2 linked regions of the Canis lupus familiaris genome follow. The protein of the gene in region 1 interacts with the protein of each later gene in a pairwise test. Links are inferred from orthologs where the notes say so. Each region holds a gene or a part of one and is shown on either strand. Other genes may lie near its edges. The genes, in order: TXLNA and CDR2.

The links.
Region 2: the proteins of TXLNA (region 1) and CDR2 interact in binary tests that used the Homo sapiens proteins (3 or more experiments, as listed by UniProt). The two-hybrid records come from large-scale screens. The link is inferred for Canis lupus familiaris from reciprocal best matches to the Homo sapiens genes TXLNA and CDR2.

What each region holds. Positions count from the first base shown.
Region 1 is NC_049223.1:68,407,873-68,423,374, forward strand, and holds the start of TXLNA (alpha-taxilin), read right to left. Parts: upstream 12,882-15,502; 5' UTR 12,733-12,881; intron 12,195-12,732; 5' UTR 12,163-12,194; coding exon 11,985-12,162; intron 11,352-11,984; coding exon 11,013-11,351; intron 9,398-11,012; coding exon 9,306-9,397; intron 7,011-9,305; coding exon 6,840-7,010; intron 5,005-6,839; coding exon 4,810-5,004; intron 4,165-4,809; coding exon 4,045-4,164; intron 3,828-4,044; coding exon 3,753-3,827; intron 3,252-3,752; coding exon 3,159-3,251; intron 2,768-3,158; coding exon 2,672-2,767; intron 1,370-2,671; coding exon 1,043-1,369; 3' UTR 1-1,042. UniProt on the Homo sapiens protein: May be involved in intracellular vesicle traffic and potentially in calcium-dependent exocytosis in neuroendocrine cells.
Region 2 is NC_049227.1:23,513,791-23,529,731, reverse strand, and holds the start of CDR2 (cerebellar degeneration-related protein 2), read right to left. Parts: upstream 7,824-15,941; 5' UTR 7,727-7,823; coding exon 7,648-7,726; intron 319-7,647; coding exon 206-318; intron 1-205. Other genes in the region: transmembrane protein 180, read left to right, coding at 12,304-12,453, 13,420-14,145.

The sequences.
Region 1 (15,502 bases):
GGGCCCAGCAACTGCTGCATGGAGACAGTGGTGATGGGCATCAGCAGTGGCTTCCCAGGATTCAAACACATAGGCAAGGTTGTGGCAAAACCATCAGATACCCTTCCCTTCCTCCTAACCACAATCTGATTTCACCGAACAGAAAAGCTCAGCACCAACATGGCAAAGATACCAGGTGGGGTGGTGAGGGTGGGGGGCACTGGAGGCCAACTGCACCAGCACCCCACCTCCTTCCTCAGATCCATACACACACTGTCATGTGCAAAACAAAAAAACAAAAAACAAAACAGAAACCTTCAGAAAGCATCCTTTGGGTGATCTCTTGTCAATCATTTGTGCAGGCTAGAGAGGCACCTGTGAATGATAAGGCTACTGAGAAGCATCGCTGGCCTGGTCCTGGCACCACCTGAGGGCTCCTAACAGTGTACCAGCCCATAGCAACTTTCTCCAGATCCCCTGTCCAAAGCAGGACAGCAGGTGGATTCCCAGCTCTGCAGGCTCTGCCCAGGGACCCCCTTCTCCAGGTTATGAGAAGCAAAGGAGCTTCCAGGGTAGCTACGAGAGCCAGAGCCGCCCAAGCCCTGTTAACGAGGGAAACAAAGTCAAGGCCTGAGTGTGTGCCACTTGTCACGAGCCCTGAAGGGCAGGAAGGGGGAGGGGGGGGTCTGAGCTCTGAGCCTCAAATCAGGCAGGGGAATGTTCAAGTCACTTGTCCTGCCAGCCCACTGTGACAGCAGCTACAGATGGCAGCTCTTCTTTAAGACTCTTCAGCTCACAGAAGAGCCAGTGACTTCATGCGTACACACCCCCACCTCCAGTGCAAGCCCATTTTACACTGATAGAAATGTATGAGGCCTTGCACATATGCCATATGTTAAGTAAAACTGACCCACAAAATCCAAAACTGCCAAGTGTCAGATGTCAGCCAGGTTAAAGCACCCTGGGCCTCAGCACTGGACTGCTTAGCGGTGGGAGCCTTGCATGGGCCAGGCCTGGCTGGGCTGCTTGCTCCCTTCCCAGCACGCCCCCTGTGCCAGGTTTCCTAGGCGGTGGTGGAGGTGGGCTCCTGGGGCCCTGCTTGGCCAGGTGCTTCTGTGCTCGGTGCTCCAGGGCAGTAAGGAGCTTCTGTGACCCTTGGGGACCCAGGTGACTGGGCCCCAGGACCCTCACAACCCTGCTCCTTGGAGGCAGCTGCAGCCTCTGGTCTTCGCTCAGGGCCACCATCAGTGATGGAGCCCTGGCCACCAGCACTCAGGTCCTGCACCCTTTTGTTCAGGTCATTGCGTTCTGTCTGCAGTGCTCGGCACAGCTTCTCTAGCCGCTGGATTTTTACCTGTAGGCCCTCTAGCTCTTTGTCCCGGAGTGTTTTCTGGGGAGAGAAACCGGGCCTTAGTGCCATGCCATTAATCCCCCACCCAACAGAGTCACTTGGTAGAAAACATTCACACTTGAATGATACTATGAGCAGGCCAGCATCAAAACCCTGCCCCTTCCTAGGAAAATAGCCCTGGCATATGCCAAGACCTGGCTGTTGGTAGGGTTGTGGTGCAGAGAAGCAGCACGACTTGAAGACAACATATTTCTTCCTTTATCCATCAGGTGACACTGGCAAAGTAAGGCTTGGCTTTTGGAGCCTATTTCCTTATCTGTTAAAATGGACTACTGGGGTGCGTGGTTGGCTCAGTCGGTTAAGCACCTGATTTTTGATTTCGGCTCAGGTCATGATCTCAGGGTTGAGATCAAGTCCCATGTCAGGCTCTGTGCTCAGCAAGGAGCCTGCCTGAGATTCTTTCATCTCCCCCGCCTGTATATGCACCTAGGTGCATGCTTTCTTTCTCTCAAATAAATGAATCTTTTTTTATTTTTTATTTTTTTAAAGATCTGAGAGAGGGGATCCCTGGGTGGCTCAGCGGTTTAGCGCCGCCTTCAGCCCAGAGCCTGATCCTGGTGACCTGGGATCGAGTCCCACATCAGGCTCCCTGCATGGAGCCTGCTTCTCCCTCTGCCTCTCTCTCATAAAAAAAAAAAAAAAAAAAATGATGAGAGACAAAAAGTGTGTATGTGTGCACATGCCCATGTGCACGAGTGAGGGGGGAAGGGCAGAGAGATAAGCAGATTCTCTGCTCAGCAGGGAGCTCAAATCAGAGTGATCCCAGGACCCTGAGCTTATGACCTGAGTTGAAGTCAGATGCTTTACCAACTGAGCTACCGAGGTGCCCCTAGATAAATAAATCTTAAAAAAACAAACAAACTACTAACATTAACCTCATAGATCTCAAGAAGGTTCAATGAATTGGCATCACCTAAAACATTGAGGAGGATCTGGCATACACTAATTAGTTCCCTTCTGCATCTCAAACCACGAAATCAAATTAGCTGAGCCACCCTGCATATAAACTGTGCCCACCACTGGTACCCCTTGGTTTTTCAGTTCCTGTACTTCTACCTACCATTTGTTCTCTTTGCTTCTACTGCAAATCTACCACTGGGCTCATCATCTCCCACAGGGTGACCACTGGCAGTGCCTTTGGACTTGGGCAGATGGACTTATGAGTCCCAGCTCCACCTCATGCCAGCTGCATGACTTACTTGCAGAACGTATAGGAAAGGGCCCGTCACTCAAAAACTGCACTCCCCTACCCCCCGTAGCTGCAGAGCACACTCGGCCCACCTCCTCAGCCATCTCAAGCAGGGCCTTGTTGCTGCTCTCCCAACGGGACCGGTACATGGTGGTTTCTTTCTCTAGCTTCTTGATCTTCTTAGTCATCTGAGTTATGGGACACATAGAAGAAAATAGTCAGGGGGACAGACTGTCCATCTGAATCTCCAAGGTGGGCAACATGTTACAGCACGCTGTCTGTGCCACCTGAAGACATCTCAAGGTAAATGTCACCGCCACTACCACCACCACCACCACCACCACCACCACATGACAAGGCTGCCCCTCTTCTCCAGGACAACCTGGAGGATGCACATATCAGTGATGCTTCCTTGAGAGGCGGGAAAGGCTCTGACCCCTTCCCTCCATACAGCCCATCCCTGGTATCAATCATGCTATTACTGTGAATAGCTCCCCAGAAGGAACCCCAGGGGTTGGGGGCTTCCTGAAGGCAGGCCCAGGGTGCCCCTGTAGCCACACTCAGGCTGGACACAGTTACCTTTTCCATCTCCTGTTTGAATGTGGTGAACACTTCACTGCTTTTGGAAAGAGTGTTCTGGAATTCCTCAAACTTCTCTGTGTATAGGGCAAGCTGGGAGAGAAAGAAGCCCAGAGATAAGATTATGCTTCTCTAGAATGCACTTATGGCTAATGCAGTCAGACCTATCCTTGGACCTCTGACCCAACAATTCTATCGAGATACCATTTTTCTTTAAAGCAGAAAAGCTATTTTAAAGAACAGAATCCAAAATGTTAAGCTTAGAAAGTAGGATTTGGGGTGACTTATATTTTGCCTCTATGTTTGTTTTCAAACTTCTCTTCGAAATTAAGTACAATTTATGTAATTAAGAACAACCATTCTCATTTTGCCTCCTCAAAAGCTGCACAACACTTCCAACTAGGAACAAAGTCCTTCAAGCTCACCTAGCCACCTGGTCACCATAGGTGCTGGGCGGGTCCAGACAGAACAAAGGCTCAGCAAGGTCACACAGCAGTCAAGGTGGTCCTAGAACGAGGGTCCCATTTCCCTCCCCTAGGATGGGGGCCCAGTAAGGTGACCTCAGAGGCACAGGATCAGGACACACTGTCTCACCTGCTGCTTCAGGTGGGTCTCCTGCTGCTTCATCAGCTCACACATCCTCTGGGACTCCACTGCCTCTTTGAGGAGCTATTTTCAAGATAGGACCCCAGATCTTGTCAGAAACCCTTAGGGGCTGTCTGGTCTTTTTTAGCCATATACCCCAGTACCCACAAAGTGTCCTGCTCCCTGAGTAAGCTGCGTCCTGGCCCGGCCAGGCAGCAACTTTCCCTTACAAACATGACTCTGAGCTGAGCCAGAATCCACCCCGCCTTCCAGACTCCCCTGTACAGGGCCCGAGCCTCACAAAGTCCTTTTCTCGTTGGTGCCTCTCCTCTGCCTCCTTCAGCATCTCCTGGGCCTGCTGGAGTTTGGCATCTACCAGCTGCTGCTGCAGGTCCTTGTGTTTGAAGACCTTGTCGATATGCTGCAGGAAGGCATGGTAGGAGGGCCACCTGTCAGCAGCTCTCTTTCTCGGGAGGCCCAGTGGGCTGCATGGATGTCCCATCTGCAGACACCAGGGTACCCTGCCCAGCCTCCCATCTCACTGTGACACGCTGGACTCCCGCATGTTCTATAGCACATGGGCCCCAAATCCCTGGAAGGTCTACTTCCCAACCTCACCTTGTTTCTCTCCAGTCAGTCCTAGGTGTGCACAGGGATGAGATCAGCTCCCAGGAAGCCAAGTAATAAATACACTCAAACCTCCAGCCCCAAGAGATCACTCCGCTGGGCTAACAACCCTCACTTTTGTAGCCCGACTCCCTTGTAAATGGGAAGAAAGGACAAAAACGACACCTCCACCAACACAACCGCTTAGCCCCATTGGCAAAGATCTCCCCACCTATAGACCAAGACTAGATGTGCAAATTTCAGGGAGTGGCAGTCCTAAATGTTGAGGAGCCCCAGGAGCCGGGGGCAGGTGAGAGCAGGAATGAGGAGGAGGCGCGGAACTCAGTGGGACTTCAAAGGTCAGAGCAGTTGAGAAAAGGTACATGGGGACACACTTGTGTTCTAGATAGTAAAGGAAAGGTGGCCTGGAGGCGGGTGTTGGCTGCTTGGGACTCCTTACCTCCTCCCGCAGCTCGTACTGCTCGATCAGCTTCTTGAGCCTCTCAGCCAACTCCATGTTCTCCTGGCGCAGCTTGGAGTTGCGCTCGTTGTGCTGCTCCATCTGCAGCTGAATGTCATTCAGTGTCACCTGGAAGTGGGAGGTCACCTCCTTGCGCTTCTCCTCTTCCTCCCGGGCCCGCTGCACGCCTTCTTCCTGGGCAGAGAAGTCAGCCCTGGCTCCATCAGCTGCTCTTCCCCAGCCCACAATGCTCTATACCCACAACCCTCTCTACTCTCAGTGAGCAGCACCAGCCAGGCTCCAAGATGCCATGCCAATGGGGGTTCCCAGGGGACCCCTCTACCCTTCTATCAGGTGACAGCAAGGGAGATATTCTCTCCCTAGAAGAATGCAGGCATACACCTAAGTGTCATTCTAGAGCAATCTAGGTCTCCTGAAGTCCATTCTTCCAGACTCAGGCTAAGCAGTCTTGTTTTGTGCTTTCATTTCTCACCTCTCACCAACTAGTTAAAATTTAGTAGTTCCCAGGGTTGGCAAGATTGTGCAGAATTAGGCACGAGGACAATATTGGTGGGGAGGTAATCTGGCAAAGTCTATTAAAACTTATATAACGTGCATGCTCTTTGACCCAGATCTTTAACTTCTGAGGTTTATCCTAGGGACAAACTAGATACACTTACCCAAGAATATATATAACAAGAACTTTCACTGTAGCTCTACGTATGAAGTACTGTAAACTTAAAAACAACTCAGCAATTCCTTAACTAGGGCACTGACAAAATACAGAATACGCATACAACAACGCTATTGAAAAGAATGATGGGTCTGCCTTTGGCTCAGGTCATGATCCCAGGGTCCTGGGATCGAGTCCCCCATCGGGCTCCCTACAAGGAGCCTGCTTCTCCCTATGCCTATATCACTACCTCTCTCTGGGTCTCTCTCATGAATAAATAGGTAAAATCTCAGGGGGAAAAAAAAAAGAATGAGACAGCCTCAAAAAAAAAAAAAAAAAAAAAAAAAGGAAAAGTGAGCTATACATGTTAGGTGAGAGGACAGAACAGGATGTGAAACAATACACATGACCTCTCCATTTAAAGAACCCTATAGAAAATTACATATGGATGCAGGAAGTCTGAAGGCTGTACTTAAACTTATGGGTAAGTAGGTGTACTTCCCAGTGGTTTCTCCTGGACACTGGGGCTGAGGAGGGTGAGCAACTGTTACCTTTGAATCTCATACTTTTGTCACCTCTGAATCTCTCATATCAAGTTTATATTACAGTAAAAATGTTGTCAAAGACAAACTAAAAATGAACAAAACAAGCTGGAAAACACTATATATTCACTGACCCAAATTTGTAACAAATATATAAAGGATACATATATAAAAACCACCCAGAGGTCACAGCAGTGACTGGGCTTTACCAGACGGACCCTGCCTGAGGAGAAGCAGGACAAAGAAAAAAGACCCAGCATTTCAGACTGCTTAAGTCTGGGAGAGGAGCTGTCCACCAGCGCTGGAACCTGACTTACCTGCAGACTGCCAGTGAACTGAACAATATCAAAGACCTGCCTCCTGGGCTCCCTCACCATACCTGACACAGGGACAGGTCAAGTGGTTACAGGCAGCTATCCCTAAGGCAGGGCGTTACTGGGGAAATCAATTTCTCTGCCAAAATCCCATGCTACCTTTTTTTTTTTTTAAAGATTTTATTTATTTATTTATTTATTTATTTATTTATTTATTCATTCATTCATTCATTCATTCATTCATTCATTCATTTATTTATTTATGATAGGCAGAGAAAGAAAGAGAGAGAGGCAAAGACACAGGCAGAGGGAGAAGCAGGCTCCATGCACTAGGAGCCCAACGTGGGATTTGATCCCGGGTCTCCAGGATCACGCCCTGGGCCAAAGGCAGGCGCTAAACTGCTGCACCACCCAGGGATCCCTCCGTGCTACTTTTTAAGGGGAAAGCCCACCAAGGAAAAGTGGAAGTCAAGGGAACCAGAGTCGTAGGGGCCAGCCCACCTTGAGGGAGCGGTTGTGGCGTTGGAGCTCCCGGCACAGGCTTTCTAGCTTACTGCGGGCCAGGACAGCCTTGCTGTGCTCCCCACGCAGGTGGTCCTTCTCCTGCACCAGCTGGCTCTGTTTCTTCTGCAGCAGCTTCATCTGCTTCTGGGAGTTCCGATGCTCCTCCAGCTGTGGAGCAGGAAGGCAAGTAAGTGCCTAGTCGGGCTTTTCCCAAGGGACCCCGGCCCTCTCCCGACTCCAGTTGTTAACAGTTCTGGCTGGACACTGTGTGGGTGCTTAATGTACTTCTCCGATAAACCCAAGGGCTCCATCTCCAGTATACAGAAACAGGCACTTACGACAAGCAGGGATTCAGAGGCTGCAGACCCCAGCCTCTCCCCACTCTAACTCTAGAGATGAAGTTCTCAAGACTCTCAGACCATTACATTCCTTCAACCTTTGTGACACTCATGTCCTCAGATGACACCCCTTACCACTCCTCCTTGTATTCAATAGACCCCCGTCACTCCCTCTTCACTGCTCTGAAACTTAGCGCCACTTCACTCAACATGACTGCTGTTATCATTTTGGCCTTTTCATTATGGACAGATCTTAACCTTCTCAGACCCTGTCTTTTCCCCACATCAGCTACCCTCCCATGAGCCTAGTCAACGCTGATACAGTGCAACTCTATGTAATGACAACTGTTCAAGTCATTGAACATTATTTTTTCTTCCCCTTTCCTTAGGTGTTTGAAACCTAAGTTGTATCTTACACTTAGAGCACATCCAAATCTAGACTAGCCACATTTCAGTTGGCTAATGGTTACTGTCCTGGACATCAGATCCAGATTTTGTCATTACCCAGAAGCACACACCCCTCCATTATCTCATCCCAGGGCAGGACCACTATCCCCTACCATTCTAGCTCATTCCATCCAAAATTTGTGGCCCCAGAAAGTCTACCATACTGGACCTCCAACCCAGTGACCCAACTATCCTTTCACTTTCCTTGAATGTGTCTTTAAATAATCACTGACCTTCTTATACTTGTCTTAAGACTTCTTACACTCAACTCTCTTGCCCCCTTTTCCTATCAAAACCCCAACCCTGATATCCCAACCTCTGATTCCTCTGCACAGGCACTGAAGCAGAAGAACCTCTTTTAATTCCTAACTACCCATTTGAGGAAGACCCTCGTCTGCCATGCGGCCTAACCATATTCCTTATGTTAGTCACACTCCTCTTCCAGAGAACTATTTCATCCTCCTCCTTCTCAGCTCTCCTTTGGCCCAGCAAAAAATATCTTTCTCATTTCCCTGAGAATGGAAGCAACCAGAGGCACAGGGGCATAAGTTCCACCTCTGCCCATCCACCTGCACCGGCCTTTTCCTCTGGTTACCAGGATCCAGTGGTGCTTCCCAACACAGCCAGCCTTCTCCTTATGCTCTGGCCCTTAGCTCCTTCTCTACTTGAGAACATCACTCAGCTCCTGCTCTCTTCATCAATCTTTCCCTGGATGGCTCATTCTGAAGGGGTGGTATCTTTTTCATATCCTATCCTTTATTTAATCATTATAGCAACCCCACAAGGCAGGTGTGATTTTTCCCAATTTTACAAATGAGAAAAACTTCTTAGAGAATTCTAGCTAATAAATGAAAATGGAGTGAAAGAACTTAAAAACAAGTAGTTAGGAAATGACCCACAGTGGATTAATCCATTTATACAAATTCTGATGGCAACCTGACAAGGGAGGAACCTGGCTGGCCCCACCTGAACTCAGTGGACAATCTTCCATCAGTAAAAGTGGGAGGAACACACTTTCTCTACAGAGTACCACTTATGTAGAGTTCTTATCAAAATAGTTGAACTTGGATTGGATCAAGCTTCTAGAGTTAATTTCCCCTATATCTACAGGAACTAAGGAGGTAAAGGAAGAAGTTAAATGTCACCACAAAAGCGAAGAAGTGAGGCACAGGGCGATTGATCTGCAGTAAATCAATGTCATGAGAAAAAGGTTGGCAGTAAATGAAGACTATTTTGGAATAAAAGGAAAAAAAGTTGTAAGGACCTAAAGTATTAGATGGATCTCCTGTAGACCCTGATTTGATCAAACTGACATTTTAAACAAATGGGGAAATATGCGTATTAGAGTATCACATCAGTGTTAGTTTAAATGTGAGGATGGCACTGTGCATTTTTTGGGGAGATGCACACTGAGGCACACAGGTGTGAGATGACATGGTATGTGGGACTGGGGCCAGGAGCTATGGTTTTACCACTGTAATATGAAGGGTTTCTTCTTACAGTCAACATGGAAGGGGCCAGCTGGGACTTGACTCTCCACTTAACAGATGGAGAAAAGGCTGAGAGAGGCTGAATAGGAATTAAGCCACCCACCTGCCCCGGCACCCTCAACCCCATGCCAGGTGGCCTGCTGACTTTCCAAGGCAGGGCGGATGCAAGAAGAAGGGGGAGAACTGACCAGTTCAGCATACTTCTTGCACAGAGCTGCCAGCTTCTCCTCTGGGGTGCTCAGGGTGTTCAATGTCTGCATCAGCAACGTGATCTCCTTCCCTGCAAAGCACAGGGATCAAAATCATGTACCCCCTTCTCTGGGGATTTCCCCAGGCCTCGGCCCACACTCTCAGGCCTTGAGGCAGCCCTACATTATCATATTTGATACTGTTTGTTGACCTGGCTGTCATCCCATTAGACCGTGTGGTTCATGAGGGTTACCACCAACTGAACTCAGCCTATTACTGTGGCCCCAGTGCTGCTCCATATTGTCTTTGGTGCCCATCTCAGACGACATGCTCAACAAATGCTTAATAGACTAATAACTGAGTCTATGTGGAGACTCCATGGTGAACACTGAGAGTGGGAGAAAAAACCTGCCTGCTCTAATAGCAGGAGGAAAAAAAAAGACATCCCAATGGCCAATTTAAGTGCTACTGTGTCAATGCAAGGAAAGCCCTTTCGAAAGAGGAAGGAGGCAAAAAGGAATAGGTTTCCTCGGTAACTACTAAACATTTGTCAACAGTGGTAGCCAAAGAGTGAACTTTATTTGTTCCCTCCTAAACAGTGAACTTTTAAACAAATATATCTTCCGATATGTGATCCCAAGATTAATAAACAACAGGGATGCCTGGGTGGCTTAGCAGCTCAGCAGCTGAGCGTCTGCCTTTGGCTCAGGGAGTGATCCTGGAGTCCCCTGGATCGAGTCCCGCATCGGGCTCCCTGCATGGTGCCTGCTTCTCCCTCTGCCTGTGTCTCTGCCTCTCTCTCTGTGTTTCTCATGAGTAAATAAATAAAATCTTAAAAAACAAAACAAAATAAAACCAAAAACAAACAAAAAAAACCCTTTCCATTAGGATGACAAACAGAGGGTGGGGAATTAAGGACTAAGACACAGGTATAATATCACTTAACTCTGATTCTTTAACATACACACTAGTCCCCTGCCCCCAATAACTTTCTCTCACTGTGCTTCAGTCAAAGGGGCTTCCTTCTGTCTCCCTGGAGGGCTCCTGTACATAGCACAGCACCAGGCTCCTGAAGTGTCAAACCCAAGAGGCTCGAAAGATCAGTGTGGAGACTGCAAAGCACTAGCACGTAGGCCAAAACCCACACGAGTTTTGTTTGGCTCCCAGCATATTAGTTGTCAATTGTTTTTTTTTTTTTTTTCTTCAGTTGCCAATTGTTAAAAATCCAGAGAGATTTCACTTAACTGCATAATAACAAAGGGGAAAAAAGGAGAAAAAAGAATGAGGGGGGGAAAAAAAAAAAAAGGCTGGCTACACTTAGCCTGTAGTATTATATGCTATCAGCATGGTGGGACCAGATGGCAATCACCCCTTTGGATGAAGTAGGCAATGTCTTGTCCTCCTAGGGTCCCCTGTCTAACTTGGCTTATTTGTGTTTTCAACCCTGGGCTAGTCCAAATCTTACTGTAGAGAAACGAAAACTAAGGAACAGAAAGGAGAAAGGTCTTGCCCAAGTTTACAGAGCAGGTTAGAGATAGTGTTGGCTGACACAGGATCCCATCTACACCCCTCTGTTCTACGGTCCACACCCCTTGCTTGGATCAAACTAATGTGACTCGGTGCTCCAGAAAGTAATTTCCTCTGAATCCTGGGACAGCAGGTTAGCCCAAACATCCCCACCTCACCAGTAGCTGCCCTCTGCTCACCCAGACCCTTGGCTTTCTTCTTCTCCTGTGGCCTTCGGTGATCTCGGTCTCCAACCTCGTCACTGGTCCGGATCTCATCTGTGCCCGGCTCCCCCTTGGAGGTCTCCTTCTCACCATTGACCACTGGGGTCTCTGGCTCAGGCTCCCCATTCCTTGAAGCATAGGTCCGGGACTTGTCTGCATCTTCGGGTTCAGCAGGCTCACCCTGTGCCCCATCCTCACCTGGGCCCCCCTGATTGTTGTCCACACAGTATGTACTCAGGATGTCTTCCAACTGGCGGCTCAGCTCCTCAGAGACATCACGGAGGGCCCCGGACTGAGCAGTTTTGGCTTGTGCTCCTGTGGCAGGGCAAGATGAGCGGCAGAATGAGAAATGAGAAACAAGATGGTTAATTCCATTTGCTGGGATTTTTCAGGCCCAAACTTACTGGTTGGGGCTAAATGTTGCCTACTTTCTTTAAGCCTTAGTTTATTTACCCATAAAATAAGATTATTTCCCACTATTGCCCAATCATGTCTGTTATAGATGTGAAAGGAATCAAGGAAATAAAGCATCCAGCATATAGGGATGGCATGTACCTGGAGCTCAACATCTAGTCCCTCCCTTTCCCCTCCCTGCAAAAATCATTTCTTGCTATTAAAAAAGTTCTAAGAAAGCCTCCAACATGAAGAGTAGTTGCCCACTGGTGAATGCAGCATTTCTAAGCCGGGCTAGCTGGTTGGGTGTCTCATCTGAGCGCCACCTGACTTAACCCTGTCAGAGCCTTCTCTTAAGAGTTCTGCTCCTGTGCTTTGAGTGGGAGGCTCTATCAACACCCTGGGGAAAGAGGGATCTGCGGGTGGCAGTCCTCCTCTCATTCTACATTTCCTCCTTCCTGGGTAAACAGTGGCCTAGGCCTGGAACTCCAGAAGCTATCCTGGCGCACCACAAACTCCTCCCCCTGCCCGCTGGAAAGCAGAAATGGCACACACCCTCAGTCTTCCCTGGAGCCTGGCTGGAGGAACCTTCAGCTTCTGTCGCAGGAGCCGGCTGGCTGGGGCGCCCCTGGGTTCCCTCTGGTCCTACTTCGGCTTGCCCCGGGTTGCTTTTTGGGTTGGAAGTGTTGCCCGACTGCTTGGCAGCCCCGTTCTTTTTGTCTTGGTTCTTCATTGTGGTTTGCAATGCTAGGCTGGAAACAGATCCTATAGAAACAAGCACACTCGCTATATTCCAGACTTCAAAATTCTTCACAGCCTGGATCCGAAATCCCAATCCCGGGTGCACAAAGCTTCTTAGGACACACTGGCCGTCCCTCACCAGAGGGAGCCAACGGTTCTCTCTCTGGCCAGTCGGAGGAGCACGGCGCGCCCAGGCAGGTTTTCGGGGCGCTGCTTCAGAAGCGCGGCAGGCGAGGCCTCCTTTTTCTCGAAGCCGCTTCCCGGCACTACACAGCCCCCTTACCACAGGCCGAGCGCGGGATAGGCTCAGGGCCGGAGACTGACGTGGCGGGACGCTCGATTCCCATCCCTCCTCCGGCCCCCAAGCCCCACGTGGGCCCCCCCGCGCGCAGCCACCCACGCCCCGCGCGCCTCCCGTCCGCGCATGCGCACAGGACCAGCCCTGCCCCCCCCAGCCCACTCCCTCGCGCGGAATCGGCGTGATTCCCTCCACCGACCGAGAGTGTTCAGGCCCACCGACCTGCTGGTCGCCTTGTTCCCCCCAAACCTCCGCAACACGCACCTCACTGCCGACCTCCTGACGGCTTCGCCCGCTCTGGCCTCGCACCGGAAACCCTGGGTAACCGCTGCCGGCCAAGCCGCCTGCTCCTGCCACAGCCAATCAATAGCCGGCGCTCTCGCGGGGCTTGCTGGGAAAGATGAAGCGAAGGCAGCCTGAGGCGGCCTTTGAGGCGGGTGAGTTGGGCAGGCGGAGGGGGAGGGAAAGGACTACATGTCCCTCCATGCACCGCGGCTGACCCCCAACTCCCAAGATGCAATAGAAAGGACTTCAGTCCTGGGAGGCGGATACCCAGGAGGTCTGAAAGGAGCTAGTCATTCTGCACGAATACTGGAATCCGCCTGGTTCCTGTCGTGCAGAATTTATGATTCAGGTCCAGAGCCCTGTGCCTGGCTGTTCTTTCCCGCACGCCCTTACCAGCCTCAACCCTCTGCTGTGAACATCTATGACCAGGAACTCTGATGACAAGGGATAGAGCATTGGGCTGGGAATCAAGACCTGTATTCCAGTTCTAACTTCATCGCGAATTCGCTGAGGGGCCATTCTTTTCTTTCCCAGGCCTCATTTTCCGTATTCAAATGAAAACTTTTCATAACAGTAGTAGTTCTTTGCTTACAGTGTGCTTTCCCACCTACTAGCTTAATCCGCCTATTTACTAAGCTCAGTACTATTTTTTATTCCCATTTGCATCTGAGGACAGTAAGGCAAAAGTTAAATAACTTGTCCCATCGCTATTGAGTAGTGAGTAGGGATTCAAAATCAGAAAGTCTTCCGTTTTACCTCCTGGATTACCCTGACTCGTACCCAGAAGAAATTCACCATGGCACTTTCTCAAAGGATGAGTCAAGGTAATTTGGTGGAATTATTCCCCCCACCCGCCCCAACTCTGCGTTACCAGCTTGAGTCCTTCTCTGGAAGGGGTTGACAGGGCTCTGCAAGAACTTTGGCCTCAGCCAATTCCTGAACATTTTCTCTGACTGGCCCATCCTCTACAGACAAAATCGGAATTGCCATGGGCTCAAGGGGAAAAACCCAAACTTTCTCTAAATGTGAGATCACAGTTCTATATTCAGCTGTCTATACATAATAGAATAAAAGCTACCAACCCCTGTGCCTGGAATTTAATGTGTAAATGGCTTGGCTTTTGTTTCCAGTCAGTTCTGTCCATGCCCTTTGCCTTTTTTGCTCCCACTATACTCTATTTCCAGGATTTCCAAGTTTTTTGCAGGTGCTAGTCCAGTTTCCAAAATGCCCTTCTGGCAAAACTAGTATTTTGAGGTCTAGCACAAAGGTCATTTCAGACCCTTCCCAGTGCTCTGTAGTCTGTCCCAGCTCTCTAGGTCTGGATAGAGCCTTTTTTTTTTTTTTTGGATAGAACTCTTTAACATTTGTAATGAGATATTCAAATTATTTGCTTACAAGTCAATGAACATTACAAGAACTCTTGGCTAAATTGTATTCCTAAAGCCTAGCATCAGTCTGGGGCAGTGAAGACAGAATGAAATCATGCAAATTGAACAGTGTGGGGGCTCTTAAAGATGTTCAATTATTTTCCCCAGTTAGACTTATGGCCAGTGCTCTTCCCCATCCCTTAGTCTGCTGTTTATCAACTAACATTGAGAGGCAATATGATATAGTATGAAGGTGGAACTCAAGCCAGAAATGCTTGGAATCCAGGTCTTTCAAAGGCCCTGATTATTTCCAGAAAAAACATGTTGGAAATCTCTTGAGGTTACATATAATCAGGCCTTGATGGCTTCCCAATGGGAAGAAGATGTTCTAGGCAAATAATATTATAAAGATAATAAGAACAAGGTATCTGTGGGGCCAGGGGGTAGAATGGTGTAGCTAGAAGGATCAACAGTGGCCTACAGAGGACAGGTGGGTAAAAATGTATTTCAATAAAGCTGATTAAAATAGGCAGGCAAGGAATAAGAAAATTTGAGAAACATGGGTTAAAGGTTATTTTCTCCTTTGCTATAAAGGAAAGTTGGGTCAGTTGGGGAGACCACTGGGAACGCTGGGGATTGTGGTAAAATAGAGAGCTCTTGCAGATTGTTTTTAAGCAGAAACTCAGATCTAGTAGTGCCAGAAAAATTTCAAGATAGATCGTTTAAAAATGTTGGCAATTGGACAGCCAGGGTGGCTCAGCGGTTTAGCACCGCCTTCATCCCAGGGCATGATCCTCGACTCCCCGGATCCAGTCCCACATCGGGCTCCCTGCATGGAGCCTGCTTCTCCTTCTGCCTATGTCTCTGCCTCTCTCTCTCATGAGTAAATAAATCTTAAAAAATAAAAATAAAAATGTTGGCAATGAATTAAACACACTATCAGACAACCGAAATCCTTTTAGGTTAAATCAGCTTTATGGCTAGGTCTTGTCCTAGCCTAATCTTGTCCTAGGAACTGACCTAAATGGGAATAGTTTGCATGACCTCAGTGGCTCAAAGGGCTGTAAGTGGAACTGATTAAATGTGATCAAAATCCTGTAGAGAAACTCTAGAAAATGCACACTATTGTGACAGAACAGATCAGTGTTTGCTGGGAGTTGGGCATGCAAGGGGATTCCAAAGGGGCATATGGAAACTTCTGGAGGTGATGGATGTGTTTACCATCTTGATTGTGATGATGGTTTCATGGGTGTGTATGTCAAAACTTATCAAATTGTATATTTTAAATATGTGCCATTTACTGTATCAATTGTATTTCAATAAAGGTGATTAAAAAAAATTCTTGGGGCACCTGGGCGGCTCAAGTATGTTAAGCATCTGCC
Region 2 (15,941 bases), on another chromosome or scaffold:
GACCATTTGCTTCTAGTATACTTCACCAAGGTAAAGAGAGAAATTTCTTTCATCAGACATATGTTGGGAAAGCACAAAAAAATAGAAATCAACCTCCCAAGTCTCTCCAATGGTTCTTTGAAAGTGCTATTTTAGCAGAACATGACTGGTCAATAGCAGCAACATGCCACAACTTAAAGTGTAACTCTCTTAATCAGTAAATTACCTCAATTTCCTGTAACTGCTCCTGATTGGTTGTGTACATCTGCTGAAGAGAATCTTCTAACTCTGTGTTCCGATCCAGTAATGTCTTCCCAAGTTCAGCAGCAAGTTGGAGATCTAGCACAACAAATGAATATTAGACTAATGCAAATGATCTCACTCACTTTATATAATCCTTGTCCTTAAAATAAGAATGAATCAAGACCTAACCCAACACATAAAATTTAAGTCAAATTTCAATGGAAGGTAGCATGGCACAGAAAGAAACCAGAGTTCTTTTCAAAATTCAGTTGAACTGGGTCCCTCTACCAGGTAATGCATGCTCTTATGTACCCACACTTGTAAGACTAAATAATAGTGATCTACTTTATGGAGATGTATTCTTAAGTTCAGAAATGATCATTCATCATGGTGATGCCTAACACCATAATTATTTGTTCATGGACTGGACTTATTCATATCTTTATTGTCTATTTTTTTCCAGGAGACCTTTGAGCCAAAGTACAGGTAGATCTTTTTTTTTTTTTTTTTTCTTCAGGTAGATCTTTAATAGTCTCTAAAGTTCCCATGAAATCTGGCTGCTGTGAATGCAAGTGTCAAAGCAAGGTTTGTGTTATAGATCCTGGCCTAAAGAGATGGAGAGAAGGGGTAGGAATCCCCTTAAAGTAGAGCTAAAGATCTGTCAACCAGTTGAATGTGATGTGTGAAAAAGAAAAAAAAAAAATAGATTTGGTGATAATGAATGAAGGATCTATTCTAGAGAGGGAGGTCACAAGGAAAGTTGGAAGGGACATTTTAGCTGGGCTTGATTGAGGAGTGAGGATCTCACCATGTAAAAAAGCCAGCCAGAGGCACTGTAACAGGAAAGAACTTGGTATAATCTACGACCTGACAAAAAGCCAGTGTGATAGAAGCATGAGGGGGAGAGTAAAGAGATGAAGCTGGAGGGCAGACAGAAATCAAGAGTACACAAAATTTTACAGTCCATGGTAAAGAATGTTTACGTTTTATTTTAAGTATGATGGAAAGTCATTTCACTTAATGTCATAAAAAGTATTTATATACATCATAAAATGTCATAAAAAAGCATTTATTATGTAAAAATATTATGAAAACTGGGAATCTTACTACATACGCTTTTTAAACTTAAGTTTTAGAGGTTGACAAATAAAGTTTTAGGTTTATTCATTATTACTGACATTAAAACTTAACCTAGAGAAAGTGGTAAAAGAAAAGCCACAACTTTTGTTACCTGGTACTGTCCATTAGAGTACATAACTAGTATTCTACTTGGTTAGTTTTCCCTCATTATGAAAAAAACAAATCATCAAAATCTACCACACACCACTCCAGCTCATTTTAAAACATTTTACACCTATTTATTAAAAACAAACAAACAGGGATCCCTGGGTGGCGCAGCGGTTTGGCACCTGCCTTTGGCCTAGGGCGCGATCCTGGAGACCCAGGATCGATTCCCACGTCGGGCTCCCGGTGCATGGAGCCTGCTTCTCTCTGCCTGTGTCTCTGCCTCTCTTTCTCTCTCTGTGACTATCATAAATAAATAAAAATTAAAAACAAACAAACAAACAGTATAGGGACGCCTGGGTGGCTCAGTGGTTGAGCATCTGCCTTCAGCTCAGGGCATGCTCCTGGAGTTCCGGGATGGAGGCTGCTTCTTCCTCTGCCTATGTCTCTGCCTCTCTCTGTCTCTCATGAATAAATTTTTTTTTTAAAAAACAGTATATATGTTGGTAGATAGGTGTTAAAATACCTTCTCTCATGATTTAAATATTAACAATATCCATTAATGGGCAGAAGACTTCAGATAACAAGTCTATGAAATAACATCTTCTATTCACAAGGCATAGAACCTTTATAAACAGCTCAAAGCTTTTAAGAGATACTAATCTAAAAAAAAAAAAAAAAAAGAGAGAGAGATACTAATCTATCTTTCAAAGGTATTTAGCCTGGATTTTCAAATGAGACAATGTGAAGCACAAAGATGCTAACTGACCTGACCACATCTACATGGTGAGTCACAGCAAAACAGAAACTACCGTCAACAGGTTCCAATCTCATAGTCTTCATATCCCATGTCTTTACACTGGGAGACCCACACACCTCTTTGTTTCAGGTAGACCGTCAATTTCCTTCTTTGAGATACTTCATCTTATCACTTGTTTTTTATAGATGGCAATGAGAAATCAGAGTTGAGCTACTTGGCTTTTATTGCCTGCTCTGCCAGTGAAAACACACACAATTCCAGGCAGTTTAATATCTTGTTTTCACTAAATGCGAAAGGCGCTATGTACAGCTTGCAGATGTTCCAAAAATAATTATTTTGTACTCCTAGGACATGTAGCCCTACACAAGGGGCACCACGCTTATTTAAGGCAAAGAGCATATAAACATATAAACATTACCTAGACATTACTTAAGTCTCTCCTGGTCTGTTTTAAGGTAGTAATTCCTCACTGGGAAGGGCCAGAGACTCACCAAAGGTGTTCTTAATCAGTGATCAAAACCTGAGGCAAAACCTCTTCCAGAATCAAGACTAACTTGAGACCATCTTCAACTACTTTCATTCAGTTATGAAACTGCCTACTACTTAACACACAGCCAGGAGCAGCTTTCCTGCTCCCGCTGCTGCAGAAAGAGATGCCAAGCACAGTACTCTTACTAGTAAATAGCATGCAGAAAAGAATTTGAGACTTGTCCTTATCTCAATCCTTATTTCCAGTTAAACAAAGCCCCAACCTGGTTCAGTAACCTGAAGTCTCAATCTCCTAAATATTTCATAGATGTTCAGGATAGAATTCTGGCAAAACAAGTCTCAACTACAAGTAAGTGTCTGTGAAGTCACACTGCATAATAGGATATTACTTCATCTGTTAGTTTAAAGACAAGGGTCTTTTTTTGTTCTTAAAAAAAATTTTATTTCCTGTTGTGTAGCATCTGGTTTCCATAACCAAAAGGAGCCAAAAGCTGGCAGTAAGCCCAAGAAGGGTTTCTAAATAATTAGTGGGGGGAATAAGAGAATGTTCAATGTCCTTTTTATTTTTAATTAAGGCACAAAAGGAAACAATATAGTTTTGAAGTCTTATGTACCTGATCATCTCCATTTTACAATAAAGATTTTCATTAAGAGGTTGTCTTTTCTACATCCTTTTGAACTGAACTAGGTAGCCACTAAAAATGCCACACTTGTGTGGTATTTTTACTTCAGGCTTAAGAATTAAAAACCTATTAATACCCTCATATGTTTAATACTTTCACTAATTAATCTTTGCGAGTGATAATAATCTATTTTAACAGCATAAACTGTAAGCTTTAAACAGGCACTCTATTCAGCCCTATGCCAAAGCAAAAGATTAGCTCTGGCAGCTGAGTAATTTTTTCAAAGAATCTCTCTTCCAGAATTCTGAAACCTTTAAATTCCACTGCTATCATATTTTTATTTTACTTCAGTTTTTCACAAACTATGAGGACAACAAATTCCCATGTTAAGCTGTGGTCTGCAGCAGTAATTCAACAACATTAGAGCTGAAAGCTTTTCCTATTACAAAATCAAATGCGTCATTTGGTGATGCTTCTGTGTAACTCCTGTTGCCAACGTTACTATAATTGGGAAAGCAAAAAACCTGAATATAAACATCAAGAAAAATGATGGTGCCAGTTTTAATGACCCTTCAACAATGATTCAGCAAATTAGTTGTACACATGGCAAATGTACTCATCACAAAAAGAAGTAGAAATATGAAGATTCCTTTAAACTAAGACTTCATTTGCTGATCCATAGAGTAGGAATTTGAAACCTTATTCTAAGCTTGCACAGCTCACCAATGACAATTACAATAGCAGCTGGACCAAAAGAAAACTCAGTCTCTGAAGTCTTTCCACCTTGTTCTCAGGGGCACATTTCAAAGCAAGCACCATCATTACCTGCACAGAAGGCTCCTGCTGTCCCAGAAAGGATCTTACCCACAGAGATCATTGTCAGTATTCTTACTGAGCCAACTCAGCTCTCTGACAAAAGACAGTCTCTTTATCAAAGTGTTCTGTAAAAGCAAAGGGTTTTCTCCTTCTGCCTGGATAAGCTTTACGTATTTCTAACAAGGTATAAATATGGTGGACCAGAGCCTTCCAAAGTTAGAATTTTTCAGCAAATTAAAAAAATTCCCCAGCAAACTTTGATATGGTCAATTTACTTAAATCATTCTGTTGCTAAAGGAAACAGGTTTGTAATTTAATGACTTTAAGAACAGGATCTTAAAAAGTTGTTTCAGCAGCTCTCTCCAAACAAGCCTTGCTCAGTAAAGTTAACAGTGAGGATGTTTACAAAACAAAACAGATGTCTGCGCTTGATAAAATCCCATTAGATGTGTTTATCAATCTGGTTAAAAGGACAGACTTGCTCCCAAACTGTATTCAGCACCAAATATCTACTGAGGACCTACCATGTGCCAGGCACTGTAGTTGGGCATGTCCTAGGAGGCAATATCTCCAGGTTTCACTAGTAAACAGATTCTTAGACTGTCAACTCCAGCAGTAGGATCCTATCTATCCTATCTGTGGATAGGCACTGTAGCCTCAGTGCCTAGATGAATACCTGGCACAGACTCAAAAATATTTTGGAGGGGGGGAGAAATTAACGCACTTAAAAATTCATTAGAAGTTTAGGTATTTTTTTTAAAGATTTTTTTTAATTTTATTTATTTATTCATAGAGATGCAGAGAGAGAGAGAGAGAGAGAGAGGCAGAGACACAGGCAGAGGGAGAAGCAGGCTCCATGCAGGGAGCCTGACGTGGGACTTGATCCAGGGTCTCCAGGATCACGCCCTGGGCTGCAGGTGGCGCTAAACCGCTGCGCCACCGGGGCTGCCCAAGTTTAGGTATTTTTTAACATATAATTTTTAAAAACTGGGACAAAGATATCCTTTTATTCACAGTGCAGACTTCATTCTTCTACAGGCTATATTCCACAAGTTATAATTGTTGGAATTTCACATCTATTCCTAACCCACACACTTGGTTATGACATACAGGGTTATGTCAAAGTCAAATTGTGGTAACAGATGTAAAAGTCTTCCAAAAAGTAGAGAACAAATTCCAAATGCAAAGTGACATTAAGTTGATTTAGACCTGTGCTCATTAAAGTTTCATTAAACTTGAACATCCGATGGCTTTGTTAAAGAGGTTAAAGAATTCCACATGTAGTGCCAACATGTTGCATTTGTTTCCCATAGACTGAAATCTTATGACTGGTTGTTCCTAAAACTTCCCACAGGGTGGAAGGGCAGTGTGGACTAAAGCACCTGATGGAAGGGAGCCATGAAAACACTAATCCCATGTGAGCGACTCAGTTCAATAAGTATTAAAACTGAGCCTCTATTATGTGCTAAGTATGCTAGATTTTTAAAAAGGGGAGAGGGCCTGCACAGATCTATGCTTGCTAAAGAAAAATATTTAGCTGTGATTATACAAACTACATAATTTATTGTAGGAAAATGCTCCAATTGTGCAGTGGTTGCCTCATTAAACCTGGAGAATGTATCAAACTAGGCCATCAATCCTTATAGGGAATTAAAAAAAATATTTAATTTATTCATGAGAGGGATCCCTGGGTGGCGCAGCGGTTTAGCGCCTGCCTTTGGCCCAGGGCGCGATCCTGGAGACCCGGGATCGAATCCCACATCGGGCTCCCGGTGCATGGAGCCTGTTTCTCCCTCTGCCTGTGTCTCTGCCTCTCTCGCTCTCTCTGTGTGACTATCATAAATAAATAAAAATTAAAAAAAATAAAAATAAAAAATAAATAAGAAAAGGGAGGGTTCCAGCTCACCTTCCTTTAAAAAAAAAAAAAAAAAAAAAAAAAAAAAAAAAAATTTATTCATGAGAGACACAGAGACTGAGGCAGAGACACAGGCAGAGGAAGAAGCAGGCTCCACGCAGGGAGTCCGACATAGGACTCGATTCTGGGTCTCCAGGATAACGTCCTAGGCCAAAGGTAGGCACTAAACTGCTGAGCTACCCAGGCATCCCCCTTATGGGGGAGAGGGGCAGCAGTTTTGAAAACAGCTTCCTTAAAATGTAAGACAAATTTGCCTATGGACATTCAGAACATGATGGGAAATACTGCACTGCAGCCACTGAACAGCTTGGGCTATTTAAGTGAAATGGTGAACTACTTTGGTTTAAGTGACTGTCCACGGCATATCAGAAGCCACCTTTCCCCAAAAGAGTTGTTTTGTTTTCTAAGTACAAGTCATTCAAGCCTACATCCTTCCCTGCCACCCCACATTCAATGATTAGCATGAACCAACACCATGGTCATTTAATAGTCACCTCAATTAGATGTTAATTTTCAGTGCACGTTTAAAGCTAAAAAAGTTGATTTACCCAGAACTGCAGACACCAAAGGTGCCTGAAAAAAATTCCTAAGGAGTGTTCAGTATAGTGGCTAAGAAAGTTTGCTCTGAAGTTTGGAGTGGAACCCTAGATCCCCCAATAATAGAATCTACTAGATTCATATAGCTTGATGAGAGGATCAAATGAACACCAGTGTTAAGAACCCACACACTCAAAAAGTGTCCCCAGTTGCACATTCCCGCTATTAATACCAAAAGAAAAAAAAAAAAAAAAGGGGAGGGCACTGGCTCCAAACTGAAGGCTGCTCCAAGATTTCTCTGGAGACACTTTCGGCAAGAAATCCAAGGCAGGCCAAGATCCCAATGCCTGTTTTTAAACTTACAAAAAATAATAATAAAATAAAAGCTAGAGCGCAAACTGCAAAGTGCCTCAAGTCACTTTCACTTGGCATCTGAACTATGCATAAGCAACAAAAAAAAAAAAATTTTTTTTTTTTTTTCAACTTTCTGACACCCAACTGAAGAAGCTGTAAACCGGTGATAAAGAAGACACAGGGTCTGGGCAGTGGCCATGACTCCTCGTTCTGAGTGTGTGAGTTCAAAAAATGCTCGCCCCCATACTTGACTCGAGCGAAGTCATTTGGCCCTTTTAACTTCGCTTTCCTCATCTGGGAAATGGGAGCAAGAGAAGAGAAGCTCCTCTCCGGGGAACGGATGGGGCGGCTGACGTGGGCGGGCCCGGCACGGTTCCTGCCACACACCCCGCACCCCCCCCCCCCCGCGACCCCGACCACCTGCGGCGGCTCCCCGTCCACGCGGGCTACGCGGGGTCCCCCCGGGGAAGCGCCCCCCACAGAGCGCGGCCCACACGCAGGGGTGGCGAGGATCACTGCGCAGAAGCGGCCTCCGGCGGGCCGGGCGCGCGGCGGGTCCCCACGCCAGGTGAGCGCCAGACCTTCCCGCACCTGGCGGCCCCCGGCCGCGGGCAGGGGCGACTTCGTAACGGTCTCGCGCCCGGGCGGCTCCCGGCCAGGCCGCCCTCCCGAGGAGTGTGTGTGTGGGGGGGTGACCGCGCCCTCACCTTGCTGGAGGTCCTGGTGGTCGTACCACGGCTCGTCCTCCTTCATCTCAAACTCCTCCACTAGGTTTTCCGCCAGCATCTCGGCCGGCTCTTCCGGGGGCAGCGGCCCCCGCCGCCGCCGTCCCGCCTCAGCCGCTGCCCCGGGCGCTCCACCGGCTCCTCCGCCCTCAGCCAGAGCCGCCCTCGGGCGGGACGCGCCGCCGCCCAGGCTCCGCCGCGCCTCCTGACCAGAGCTGCCGCCGGGCGACCCGCCCCGCACGCCGCGCACCGGCTCCCCGGCCCGCCTCGAGCCGCCCAACGGCCCCAACGACCGGAGCCCCGGCTCGAGCGCCCGGGCCGGCGCCCTGAACCGGCTCCTCACGCCGCAGCCGGGCCCAACGTGGCACTTTGGCAGAACCCTCCCCGGCCGGGGCCGCGATTCAAACCCCCGGCGGCGCCTCGGCCAATCGCGAGCGGGCCGCCGGTCGAGCGGCGGCGACGTCGTCCAATCCCGTCTCACCGCAGGCCCGCGGGTCGCCCGGTCTCGCGGGCAAGCAGCCAATGGCGACTCCGGAAGAAACAAAGAAGGCGGGGGAAAGGCGAAGGGGTGCGGCCGAGGGCCCCGCCCTCGCCTGTGCGTTGGGTCGCTCCTGGGCCAGCGTTTGGGGTGCTGGCGGTGGAGCTGGCGGCCTCCGCGGCGCCAGTGGTGGGTGTCCGGCCAGCCAGTTAGCCAGTGGGCAGCCTAAATGGGCTGCAGGGGCGGGGGCCCGCGTCCGAGCCGTGGGCGGCTGTCGTGGGCGCCCTTCGTGCGAGCGGAGGCGCGAAGGGTGCCGGGAGCCCGAGGTCCGCTGCGCGGCTGGCCTCTTCTGGACTTTGGACCCCCCCCCCCCCCCAGCTGTGCTCCTCGAGCTGGGAAGTTACGGATCGGTCGGTAGTTTAGGGCTGTTAGCTGTCTTCTCCTTGATTGAGCGCTCACCTCCAAACCCTTGAGAGTTGTACTCACTTCCCCCTGAAATGAAGGGCTCCCATTTGAGTGTCTGGGGGGGAGGGGGGATAGGGTGCAGTTAAAGGTATTTCCTTAGGGGAAAAAAATTGCAAGCACTTTTGTACACGATTTTTATAAGGTTCATAGACCGCCAGGTGTAGTACCCAGGGTCGTGACGTTGCACCTGGAGGGAGCTGGAGCTGAATGCAGCACTTGATGGCCAGCAGGGCAGTGAACTTCGCTTTCCTTGGGGTTAAAGTTAAAGTTAATTGCTACTCGTAGGGAGCGGCCTTTACCATCATCGCGCAGACAAAACTCAGAAACTCCTAAATGGGGTGATTGGAAGGTAAATGTTCTCGACCTTGACGGAAAGGTCAAGATACAGCTCATAAAAGACAGCCGTGCTCTCTCCTATAGTAGTAGAATGCCAACCAATAAACGTAGAAGCAATAATGGTATTAGTAATAAAAGAGGAACAGTAAACTCAAATCCTTTTCTTCTGAATTCGGTTATACCAAAAGGCAAAATGTTACTGATTACTTTTTATTGCTAGGTTAAAAAAAAAGAAGAAAACTGGGTTACGTTACAGCCTTTACTTAGCCCTAATTGTCAAAATTCAGGTAGAGATACAGTCCAGAGCCAAAAGAAAATAATTTAAAGCCAACTATCTTAAAGTAAGTCGCTAAAAAATTTTTTTAAAAATTAAAAAAAAAATAAAAGTAAGTCACTACACACTTTCTTTGGAAAGAGATGATTGGATTTAGGATTTGCTGACGGTGATTTGTGGAAGCTGAAGGGCTAGAATCAGGCATTTGACCTTCAAGAGACTCATTTTCATAGTCACTGATCCACAAGATTGAAAGTGCTAGCTTTTTTCTCCATGGCAAATAACTTAGATTCCAAATCAAATTGGTCAGTGTATTGAAATATTCTTTCACATTCTCCTTCAAAAGCAAAAAAAAAAAAAAAAAAAAAAAAAAAAGAGAGAAAGATATAGAGAGTTAAAGTTATTGATAGTTTAGTCTTTGGTATTAGTGGGTTCGTTTTAAGGACACCTTTTGGGGAAACGATTTTCCCTTGGAAAGTTTGTACAAAAATCACATTGAAAAACAGATGTTAGCTTTCGCTGCTTAAAGTCATGCTTTGGAGAAGTCCCCATCATTCTTTTACAGTCTACTTAGTCAAAACTTAGAAGCAGTCAGGAACAGCTTTCTCTGTGACATTAATATTATTTGGTGTAGTAGTAGGTTAGTGAATAACAACCCAAGTTGATTCTAAAAGGAAGTTTTGGGTTTTCATTGAATAATTCATGAGTACATCATACACCTGTCCAGCCTAATCATTATACCATTTTGCTACTTAAATTCTACTGTATAAAACCTTTTGTGGTAAAGAAGAACCAGTTTCAGAAAAGATAAAAAAGATAAAAAAGATCCCTGCTCGTAAAAGATAAAATTTTTTTTTAAAAAAAGATAAAAGATCCCTGCTCGTAAAGATAAAAATTTTTTTTTATAAAAAAAGATAAAAGATCCCTGCTCGTAAAGATATAATTTGTGTTTTGTTGCTATAGGAAAATCAGGTAAGGAGAGTTTTTAGATTGTAGTGGTGGCTTTAAAAAAATTGTTAAGTGGTGATTTTCAGTTTAATACTTTATGAAATAAGTACTTACCATGATGAAAATAATATAAACCAAAATATTGATAGTTCCTGTTGCAAATGAAAATAAAGGGAATTTTACTTCCTCCTCTCAGTATATATAAACAAAGAGAAATTCAGGCTACAAGAGTTTTTCAGAATATTATTAAAACCTTATAGTCACATGTTTCAGACAGGATAGGTGCTTAACTCAAATTCTTTTTAAAAAAATTTAACTCAGTGAACCTCTGCAAAATTCTGAGTTTATAAATACCCACTTCCTGATGTAATGATAGATCAGCTCAGAAGATGTGGCATGCTTCTTGTTTCAGCATGCCTGAAATAAAACTAAGAAAAAGGAGAGTGCCTACGTTTTGGTGAGCTAAATTTGTATCATGGCTTTTGGTTCAACTGACTCCTTTGTTTTGGCCTTCTTGAATGAAAACCCAGTCTTTTCGTTCTCCCTTAGGCCAAAAGTAACTCACTAGAATGGGATCTTCACCAGTAGTTCCCAGCTTTTTCAAATCCGAGAATACCTTTAAAGCCAAAAATGTTGGCTGGCCTCCACATAATGGCACTTGTGCTTTTCAGGTGTTTGTGCACCATGTAATGATAACAAAAAAATTCAGATGGTATCTTATCATTACAGCAGAACCTACAAATATTTTAAGGATACTAATGTACATATGAGTAAAATATTCTTTATTTAGTCTACAGACTATGTTTGGTCTGCATGTGGGTTTAATAACCCCTTTTAATTATAGGGCCCTATTTCCTATAGATTTGGCACCATTTTTGGATCTACCCAATGCAAAGTGAAGCTCAGGGACTTAGATAATTTGGTCACTTGAACCAGTTGCTCACTCCCTGCTTCTAGCTTGCCCTCCCCTTCCCTAAGAAATTGGGCAGTATAGACTGCAGTGCCTCCCTAATTCCCAAGGATTATTCAAGCAAGTAACATCTCTTGAGTTATCTGAATACTTGTGTCTTTGTGATTCAGAATGATTGTGGAAAGCTGGCTAAATATTCCAGGAAGTTAGGGATAAAGCAGAAAAATCATGGTATTATCTTATAGTCAAGGTTAAAAGGAAGATGAATCAGTACCTACCTTTTGCTTAGTTAAACTTTTCCTATTGTTTATTTGCATGAATCAAGTCATTGAATGGGTAAGACAATAGGTCAGATTTAAGAGGGACATCTAGATCAGAGCAAATGTATTATTATTTATTTTTTTTAAGATTTTATTTTGAGAGACAGCAAGCAAGTGCATGTGAGTAGAGGGAAAGGCAGAGAGAGAGAATCTCAAGCCCAACTCAGGACTGTGAGATCATGACCTCAACTGCAATGAAAGAGTTGGACACTCAACCAACTGAGCCACCCAGGTGCCCCCCAGATGTGTTATTTTTAATATCCATCTTTGATACATCCTTTGGGCTAAAGTTATACAGTCTGTCAGGAGAAGACCAAGAATAAATATTCCAATGCAAGTTTGTCACTACTGAATGGTTAACTTTATACTATTTCTTCTGCCTGACTTTAACTAAAGGATGTCACCTCCTTGTTCCTTTTCTGTTGCACCCTCCCCAGTAGGGAGGAAAATACCGTAAACACATCTCCTTGGTCCTTAGTTAAGCATATCCAAACTCATGAATAAATCTTACTTTTAGAACTTGAAAGAGTTATTAAAAATATATTCAAGTAGGGGCGCCTGGCTCAGTTAGAGAAGCATGTGATTCTTGATCTTGGGGTCATGAGTTTAAGCCCCGTGTTAGGTGTATTTTTTTAAATATATATGTGCCAGTGAGTTAAACTCTATGCAAATTAGTGTCCCTGGCAACTTCTCAAAAAATGTTAAGAGAATGATAAGAAAGTTAAGTGTTGAAACTGGTGACATATGTATAGCTAGTGGTTTTAGACTTTTCCTTACCTAAAATTAGTGTCCCGTGGAATTTTGCCACCCATCAGCTATTGTATGAAAACAGCTATTGTATGAATTTTAACTACTTTCCTTTTCTTTAAAAAAAAAAAAAAGGAAGAAGAATTCCTTAGTGTGGAAAATGACACTTTTAAGTATCAAACCGATTGCTTGGGGATATTCTATGATAACATTAGGGACTGAAATGCTAAATTCTGTCTTCAGTTTCTACTATGTGAAGCTGTTTTTACATCTGTACAAGATTTCAGAAGTGGCCTTTTACCAAGCCCAGGTGAGATGGAACCTTCATTATCTTATCACCTAGGACAGAGTTTCTCTTTCCCTACAGTTGTACAGTATTATGATTTTCCAAAGGGCTGACTCTTCACGCGAATAGCTGACTTTTCAAGAAAAGATTTTCTATGTCCAAGATCCTCTGTTTGAGGACAAAGAAATTTTTTAAATATTGCCACTTCAAACATAAAAGCTTTAGAGTTTAAAGGGAAGGCTTTGGTTACCTGGAAAATTCACTTATATGGAATAATATATTTTTTTATTTTTACAATTAGAAATATTAAGATAGTCTATGTCTAGAAAAGTTCTGTGGTAATCACAAATTGCATTGTAACTCATTACCAGTTAATGTGGTCAAGGTGGATAGAGTTAATGGTCTTAAAAGCCCTTATATTTTATAATGTTATTTATTACCAACAACACACTTGACTTAATCAGTATTTTTTGGCATTTTGCAGTGGCAAACATTGATATTTTAACCTTTCCTAATGGAATTATGTAAAAGTATGCCATGGTATATATACAGGCTTGGCCTTGTGTGCCTTATGGGGAAGCAATCTAACATATGATTGAAAGCACAGATGCTGGGGTCATCTGCCTTGGCTCAGACCCTGGCTCTGTCGTTTATTAGCTAGGCAAATTGATAACTTTCTGCAGCCCTCGGTTTCTTCATTTGTAAAGTAGGAATAATTGTAGTACCCAGTTCATAGGATTGGTTTAAGGATTTAATGAATTAATTGAAGTATTTGTACAATGCCTAAACACAAAGTGAATGCACATTGGCTTTTTGAGTGGCGTTAACTGATATGATTATTAATATTATGGGATATATGCTGGTTTTGAAAGCAGTGAGCTTCCCCCACCGCATAGTTTTAGTTACTTCACTTAAGAAATTTAGGAGTCACTTTCATCAATGTTCATCAAACATTCTAAAATAATAATATGTTGGTTTTTTTCCTCCTAGATGATTTTAATGATCTGGAATGCTCTTAATGACCTGACTGGGTACTTTCACAACAACTCTCAGGCTGACTGCTGTTCTAGCCGTCGTAGTTCTGTTTTGTACGGTGCCCCTTTATATTCAATAGCCTTCCTGCTTCCTTGGTTCCCTTGGAAATACTATCAAGAAGGTGACTGGCTTAGTGGACTTCACCTGGTAGTATCATTATGTGCTTTTGATAGCACGCTTACCTTTGTTCAGCAAGCTCAGTGTACACTGTTTGCAGAGATTTTCACCAGACATGAAAGTCGGCTTCAGCTTATTAAAATTAACCAAATGGCATCACTGGTAGGATCCACCAGTATCCTTTTCTGTGGCCTTATCTCTGATAACATGGAAATTTTACTCAATTTTCAGGCTGTTGCTGTGGTCATTGCCATTCTTGCCTCAGCCAGCCTTTACACTGGCATGTACCACATGAATCGGTTTGAACCTAAAAGAAGCCTGGAGGAAAACCTTTTCTCAGAAAGTGAACAGGATCTCCCCTGGACCTCTGTGGTCTCATTGATGAGACAGGTCTTGACGCAGAAAAACTTTTGCCTTTTCCTGGTAATGAATTTCTTCCAAGTCTTCCATTTAACCTTCTTCAATAACTTCATGATGATCTTTGCAGATAGTCTCATTCCTAAGGATGTTCTTTCTTCTTCCATAAGGAGCATCATGTATGGGGCAGGCTTTATTTGCCCACAGGTATGTGATGATTCTTCCTGTATCTTCCCACAGGAATGAAAGGTTTAACTCCTACCTAGCTTGGAAATGAAAAAGCTGATTATATCAGTACTTTGACAAAATGACTCACATAAGAGACTCAAAGACAGTAGAGTCAACGATGTTGCAAAAATGTTGTATGGTGATAGAGGATAGCTACACTTGCAGTGAGCATAGCATAACATATAGACTTGTGGAATCACTATATTGTACACCTGACACTAATATAACATTGTATGTGAACTGTACTTACTATAACTTAGAGAGAGAGAGAGAGAGATCCAAAGATTCACAGCCCCAGGTGTTATATAATATTTAATAGAAACATAATGGGAAAAAGAAATGAAAGGAAAAAAGAAAAGAGAACCTAATGAGAGTAGATAAGATGATATTTGAAACATTTTAGCTTTTGAATTTTGTTCTTCTGAGCATTCTCACTTAAACCTTAGCTGAGGTATATATATATATATATATATATATATATATATATATATATATATGAAATAAATGGCAATTTTGCTTTATCCAGGCATTTAATGTTCCTGTAACCATTATAAGGATGAGGGTTACTTGATCAAGAATTCTTGAAGCCAGGTTTCAAAACATTTGGTTTAAAGACTGAGTCCTGGAATTCTAGAACATTATTAAAATTCCATGCCCATGACTGTTACTGGAAAGGGTGTATCCTCCTTCCAAAAGTATACCAGCCTGATGGGTTGTTTTTTACACCACTTGGAGTGTTGATGAATCATATTGCTTTCTTCACCTATAAATATATCACCCCCAAATATGACTTAACCTAGCCTATGATATGGGTTTTTCCTATTTTCATAATTAAGTGACAGGTAAAATTCATTATCCTCTTCAGAGAGTGAGTCACTCTAGACAGATGAGTTTTTACTATTTACATGGTTCCAAAAACATTTAAACTATGTGGGATAGAAATAGTTCTAAGATATTTTAAGTGTTGCCACATTTTCTTATGCAAAGTATACAGGATACGATTTGTCTTTTTGAAGATTAGTTCAAGGCCTTTATCATAGTTTGGTTACCGTATATACCATAATAATAGTAAGTCACATTGGGTGCTTACCCTGTGCCATGAACCTTGCCAAGCATATCATATAAATTATCTCACCTAATCCTCACAACCACCTTTAAGGGAAAGACTCTTCTTATCCTCATAGATGAGAGAAGAGAGGTTCAGAGGCATCTGCCTTTAGAGCTGTGCACTTTTAGATTCTGTCTTTAAAATGTACTGTATTTGGCAGAGTATACCAAACAGAGTATCACTTTGGGCTTATCACAAAAGTCCCAGGTACTGGGTGTACATATTGAAATGATACTATTCGTTCACGGCACTTTGAGGTTTGCCAAGCTGTTTTGCTCCTATGTTCAATGATCCAGAATAGGGAACTGTTTGAGTTCCTATTTGCTTTATCAGATTCTAAAAATATATATATATATATATATATATTTCTATATAAATATAAATTTATAAATATAATTAAAATATATTTAATGTAAATACATTTAAATATATATATCTTCCAACTTTTAATCAGGTACTTGCCTATAGTATCTCCTCTAAGTAAAAAAAAAAGTTTGCAAAACTCTTAGGTTAAAAATAAAAAGAGGGGCACCTGGGTGGCTCAGTGATTGAGTATCTGCCTTCGGCTCAGGTCGTGATGTCAGGGTCCTGGGATCAAGTACTGCATTGGGCTCCCTGCAGGGAGCCTGCTTCTCCCTCTGCCTGTGTCTCTGCTTCTCTCTCTGTG